Linked DNA regions of Coturnix japonica. The protein of the gene in region 2 interacts with the protein of the main gene of each other region in a pairwise test. Links are inferred from orthologs where the notes say so. Each region holds a gene or a part of one and is shown on either strand. Other genes may lie near its edges.

Evidence for each region.
Region 1: the proteins of PDIK1L (region 2) and C21H1orf174 interact in binary tests that used the Homo sapiens proteins (3 or more experiments, as listed by UniProt). The two-hybrid records come from large-scale screens. The link is inferred for Coturnix japonica from reciprocal best matches to the Homo sapiens genes PDIK1L and C1orf174.

What each region holds. Positions count from the first base shown.
Region 1 is NC_029536.1:765,462-769,690, forward strand, and holds C21H1orf174 (UPF0688 protein C1orf174 homolog), read left to right. Parts: upstream 1-1,425; 5' UTR 1,426-1,493; coding exon 1,494-1,559; intron 1,560-1,938; coding exon 1,939-2,421; intron 2,422-2,763; coding exon 2,764-2,874; 3' UTR 2,875-3,864; downstream 3,865-4,229.
Region 2 is NC_029538.1:2,855,427-2,857,884, reverse strand, and holds part of PDIK1L (serine/threonine-protein kinase PDIK1L), read left to right. Parts: intron 1-1,322; coding exon 1,323-2,063; 3' UTR 2,064-2,458.

The sequences.
Region 1 (4,229 bases), on a different chromosome or scaffold from region 2:
AGACCAGTCCGTGCTCTTGCTGGATGCTTGGTGTGTTTGATAGATCTCTCATTCAACAGTTCGCAGCCGTTAACGTTTACAGGCAACATTATTTTTGGCTGCTGTCCCTTGCATGTCACTAATGTTTAACCAAATGAACTCGGAGGATTATAACAGACAGAGACACTGGTGGAAGTGACAGGCACAGAGACAAGTGCTGCAAGAAGCTAATTTACACATCGAATTTCACAGCCCGAGCCTCCCATCCTGCTCAATAAGCTCATCAGCTGCTGCTTCATACCCGCCAGCCAGCTCTCATAAAAACGAGGGAGCTCAGAAAATCGCCTTGTTGGTTTTTTTTCCCTCTTTCTCCTGCCTGCTTAGACAACAGATTCTAACAAAACCCACTTTTTAATACGGTTGAGACCAAGCCCTCTTTTATGTGGAAATGTGAGTTTAATGTAAATAGTTTGAGCCGCTCTGCTTGGCTTTCAGGGCTTGTTGGCTGCCGGTGGTCTCTGTGCAGACTTTCAAGGCACTCAGGAGTCACTGAGCTGCTGAAACATGGGCAGGTCTCTTAGGGGGCTCTTGCTGCCTTTCCTGCAGTGAGAAGAATCTAGGAGCCTCGCAAAGAAGCTCGACAGGTTGATGGTTGGGCTTGACAACCTCAGAAGTCTTTCCAACCCTTATGATGCTGGTTCTAAGCCCTGCTGTTCTGGCTTTGTCTGTGCAAGGTGTGCATCCCCTGGATGTGTCCGAGGCCACCTTGCTGAGTCTGCCACCTCGGTGTTATAGAAACCATCCATTAACATCTCCAAACGGCTTTTTATTTTCTTGCTATTTTCAGTTCACAGAGGAAATCGAGACGGCATCCAAGCTTTCCAGCAGCAAAAATGCCTCTCTGCAGCCAGCTCCAGTCTCTCCTGTTTACGAGGCAGTATAAGTTCTCACTGTATAATAAAAACAATCATCTGTATTCCTTGGCTGCGAGCAACAACACTGAGAGCGGAGCAAGTTTCGGTGCTTTGGAGGAGAATATGAATCATCTCAGCCATAGAACAAAGCACAGAAGACCCCTGAGCGCTGAGCAGGCCTGTTTTCCAACCTGGAGCTGAGAAAGAAAACATCTGAGCTGGATATCCTCAGAGGAATATTGCTGCTGAATCTCTGAGGCTCAAATTGTTGCTTTTTCCAGGCCAGGATGTGCAATGGCAATGTTATCTGCTGGCTATCTGCACCATTCCTTCCCTGAGGGCTGTGGGGAAGGGATAACGACTTCCCAATGCACATCTTAGAAGCAAAGCTTTCAAAAAGAAGGCGCTGGGAAGCAAAAGACCCGAAGTGTTTATCACATACACAGCCTACATACACATTTATTTTATTTTATTTCCACTGAAGGCGGTTTAACACCGCGATGGGCCTAGCACCCCAAGGCATCTCTCCGCCCCTCCTGTGGTGAAGGGCGGCCCGCAGCGCCGGGCTCGGACCTGGCCGGGACGCTGCTCCTCCCCAAGATGGCGGCGGGCGGGAAGGGCCGAGCCGGGGCGGGTAGCGGAAAAGGAGACGGGGGGAGCCGGCAGGTGAGGGCCGAGCCGGGCTGATACCATGGACCGGAGGGAACATGGGGTGACTGGGGAGGGAACGGGCTGTGGAGGCTGTGCTGTGCCGTTGTGGTGGCAGGGGGCAGGCCTGGAGCGATGGGGAAGCGGCCAGCGGTGATGTCCTCCGCCTGGCACCCATCGTGGGGGTGCTCTATTTGGGCCTTTCTTTTCCTCCTAAATGCTCTTTTATTTATTTTATCTTTTATTATTTATGGGGAAATAATCTTTTCCCATAGTGGCTGTGCTTGGTGCTACAGCTCAGGAGGTTTCTCGCATGGAGTTTCATGCCACACGAGCTGGTTGCTGCTGTGTTCGGGTGCTTTTGAACTTCATGTGCTTCTCTTTGTTTTTCTAACAGGCTTCTTCACACAAAGCAGTTGGCAGACGGCCCTCCAAGAGGCTAAAATGTGAAAGAAACAGTCGGGTGAAGTCAGGACTGGAAGGCTGTATGTGTGAGAGTGAGAACCCTCCTGCATCTAAAACACCTGCTGAGGGCTCACCATCAAAAGGTACAGATCACCACGAAATTCAGCTGGAAAAAAGTGAAAGAATTCCAGAGACCGGTGGAGAAAAACAGGAGAAGGAAGGTGATGTTTCTTCAAAGCCACATGCGGCAAAAGCAAGTAGTGCACCTTCAAAAACAGAAAGCAATGAGGATCTGCAAGATCGTGCCTGCAGGGAGGAGAACAGCTGTGAGAGCTTGATTTTGGAAGGGAACTGCTTGAAGGATGGAGACGTCCCTAAGAAACTAACAGAACTAGATAACAGTGCTTTCTTGGATGAAGACAGTAACCAGCCGATGCCACTGGATCGGTTCTTTGGAAACATTGACTTTATGCAGGTAAAGGTTGAGTCTGCCTTTAATATTATATACATTTGGACACCTGATGCCTTCATCTTTTATCCATTTAATGAATGTTGTGTTTAGTGGGAGCAGTGAGGATTCACTTGTGGAGGACTTTATCTCCTCTGCATCCTTTTTGACTGCAGAGAGAACAACAGCCCTCACTTGGACCATGAGCTGGTTCAGACAGGCTCCCCTCTGCACTCTGTAAAGGTTTATTCAGATGTGTGTGTGTTAATGCCTCATGTATGAGACTGGGGAAGAATGGGAACTGCTGGAGATGGGGGAGGTTTGCCATCTGCAGCAACTTCACTTCATCATTTCATCTTTTTCTTCAAGGATGAGCTAGCAGCTGTTCTCCCGAGCACAACAATGAGCAGGCGGGAATACAGAAGGCTGCATTTCATCGCCAAGGAAGATGAGGAGGAGGACGACGAGGATGTTCTCTAGCAGCAAACTGTAAAACACAGGAAACTTTTCCTTGTCTTCCTACCAGAGCGATGGTGGTAGGCTGTATCACTGGCATGACGTGTCAGTATTTGCATTTTCTTAGAGAATGGCTAGAGTCTGTTTCTAGAGTTGGCAGATACAGTATTCCCCCTCAGTTTTCTGGGGCAGAGTTTGACTGAATTCCATCTTCCACCACGTCAGCTGTAAGCATTGCCCTTTTAATAGCTCTATAATGCAGATTGTTCAGTGTTTTCAACTGACTTCCAAAGGTTGTGAATAGAAGTTTCACAAATACATTGGCAGTGAAAAAGGCAGAACAGAATCTCTCAGTAGGACTTTAACTGGTAGACAAACAAGTAGTGGTGGCCAAGTAGATATGGGTCAGTCCTTCAAATCTGTTCCTTCTGGCCTGCATTTTTACATGAGCAACCTCACGAACTGCTAACTCATGCAGTGTTGGTGATAGTACTTTGAAAGTGTGATTCTGCAAGAAGCTCCCAGATATTTATTATTATAAACACAGAAGAAAGTATTTCTAAAAATACAGAGAAAATATAATCAGCAGATGGTTTAAATCAATATTAATTTCTACAGCTACAGTATGTTGAACATTCAAAAATCTGAAGCCAAACAAATTGTATATGCATGACATGTTAATTTATTCAAATTCCCACTCCAGTTGATGTATTGTTTCTGTCAGTGCCAGTTCTTGGCTCCTTTTTACTCTTAAGTTTGTAACACTGCAAAAAAAAACCTTCCTATTTTGGTGTATACGTGGTTTTCATCACAACTCCATCTAAAAGCAGTTCTCCCAGCTCTCCCTTAATTCCTTATTAGCTGACTTTTTTTTTTCCTAGGCAGTCTCTTTACACACACTCAGTGTAAAATGGTGTTAGTAGGAAATGTGCCATGCTGACAGCACAATGCTTGTTGTCACATCTTTATTGCAGTCCCTTCCCCAATACCAAAACACCAGAATGTGCATTTTCACTTCTCTTACTGTTGATGTATATTCAGTGAGATGATCAGGATCAATCCAATGGTGCTGAAACTCCATACTAAAAATGCATTTGCTTATTTTCACGTTGAAATGTTTGGGAAAGGAATTGAATTTACTGCTTTAATTAGCACTGTCTGTAGCAAAGCTCCTGCATTTCCAAGCCCTAGCAAGTCAGGACTCACACAGCAATACTGTCTTAATAATAATCTTGTCTGAACTAGATGAATTGATCTGATAAGAAAGAGAACCAGTGATAGGAAGAAACTGGGGAGAAAAATGCAAAACAAAACCAAAACCAGCAACCAAAGTAAACACCCAGAACTTTCCTAGAGGTAAATGATGATGATGTCTGCTA
Region 2 (2,458 bases):
CAGAGATCACTTTATGATAGCCTATGCTGAAAGAGAGAAACCCAGATCTCCCTTGGCTTGCTCTCTCTTCTGCCCACTCCAGGTGATATTACATTACCAGGCTGAGCTGGTGTAGTGTGAGGAGGCCTGGGAAGGGCTGTTGGTGTCTCCTGCAGTGCTTCAGGAGACATAAGCAGAACCAGGCTTATGTAGTGAGCTCTGAGCTGGTGTGGCTTCCTTGTGCCGCAGTCCCAGATCTGGAGGTGGATTCTGTCATCTGGATGCTCTGAGCTGAGACCCAATTACAGCTCCAGTGTGGGAAGAGCTCTGTGTTGGAGTTGCTCCCTCCTGTGCTGTGGTTCCCATCTTGCTGTTATTGGCTGTAAACCCTGAGTATACAGTTTAAGTGCTAACACAGAATTGCTCTTAAATTGGTTTGAGTACTAACTGTGCTCACAACTAAACGTAGCTATCATTTGTTACTAATTTTGCTCTTGGTTTGGGAGAAGGAAGACTTTTTAAAGTTTCTCTATGTATTAATAGCTGTATTCACTTTTGAAGGCCTATAGAGGCTGCATCTGCTTTAGTAAACACTGGTTTAGTGCTAACTAGCAAGTCTGACATTCCAGAGTGTGCAAAGAGCCACCTCAGAGGAGCTGAAAAGACAGGTTTGTAGCTGTGTGAACAGAGAGCAAGCAGAGTTGCTGGTTTATATTGCACGTTGTACAAAGTGGCCACTGGGACTGGCTGCTGGAGTTGTTCTCTGCTTATGTTCTAGTGTGCTGCAGTGAGAAAGGTGTTGCTACAGCAGCTGCTGAGCTGTGCCTATGGATTAGCATTCTCCTGAGCTAAGAGATCCTGTGCTAACGCTTGCTAGAATGCATTCACGTGTCAGGGATGGAGGGCAGGCTCTTAAGAACGTGTAGTGAGGCCGCCTTATAAGCAGAGGACAAACCCAGCCCTGTGCTGCTGTGCAGGGGTTCATGGTTGGGGCTGTGTTTGTATTTGGAGTTAGCAAAATGGGTGGGACGCTGGCCAGCCGAAACAGATGGGAGTGCAAGGACTGCTTGATATCCTTCAGAAAGCTGTTATCTGGGGCTGGCTCTGGCTTCTGGGTAGGAGCGTGAGGTTGATATGCTTCACACGCACACAGAAATAACAAATACATTGTGATTTTTTTCCTTTTTACATCATAAGTTTTGCATGAACTCGTTTGGCAATACCTTACTCTCTGAGCTGTTGAGAGGAAGATCCAAAATGTGTGCTTTTTTTTTGTTTTTCCATCATATCTTTCTATTTCTGTGGTCATCGGGTAGTTGTGACACTTCTTTTCCTTATTGCAGCTTGTAGAGACCTCATTAAAAGGAGAAATAGTCTTTGACCCCAGAAGTGCTTATTACCTTTGGTTTGTAATGGATTTCTGTGATGGAGGAGATATGAATGAGTATCTGTTGTCTCGAAAACCTAACCGCAAGACCAACACCAGTTTCATGCTTCAGCTCAGCAGTGCGCTGGCTTTCCTGCACAAAAATCAGATTATCCATCGTGATCTCAAACCTGACAATATTCTGATATCGCAGAGCAGGATGGATGCCAGTGACTTGGAGCCCACATTGAAAGTAGCTGACTTTGGGCTGAGTAAGGTATGTTCAGCTTCAGGCCAGAATCCTGAGGAACCAGTCAACGTAAATAAGTGTTTTCTATCGACTGCCTGTGGGACTGACTTCTATATGGCCCCCGAAGTCTGGGAAGGACACTACACTGCCAAAGCAGACATTTTTGCACTGGGGATCATAATCTGGGCAATGCTAGAAAGAATCACATTCGTAGACACAGAGACAAAGAAAGAACTCCTGGGTAGTTACGTCAAACAGGGGACAGCCATTGTGCCCGTTGGAGAGGCACTGCTAGAAAACCCTAAGATGGAACTGCTCATCCCCGTAAAGAAAAAATCCATGAATGCACAGATGAAACAGTTGATTAAGGAAATGCTGGCTGCCAACCCGCAGGACCGTCCTGATGCTTTTGAACTAGAGCTGCGATTAGTCAACATAGCTTTTAAAGACAGCAGCTGGGACACATGACCTGCAGAGTGGTGGTCTCTTGGAAGGAGCTGCTCCTTGCCCAGCTGATGGTGCAACTTAATGGCAGTAAAGAAACGAGGCCGATCTCAGACCCGCAGGGTGTAGTTTCTATTGATGGAATTTTGTTTGAGTTCCGCTCGTTCTAAGAATGTGAGTTGGCAGTTGTGTTAGCGATGCGTTGTGTTTTGTTTCCAGGATGTTATGTGTTAAGTCTTAAGATGTGACAATGTTCATTTGTGTACGTTGGCAGTGGGACATCCTAGGAGCTGAGGTTTGATTTCCGGCCATATCTCAGAGTATTTAATACATTCCAGTTTCCTATATCAGTATTAGGAACTCTCCTGGAAGAAGAGATTTGCATGCTGGTAGTGCAGATCTTCAGGTTTGTAAAGTAA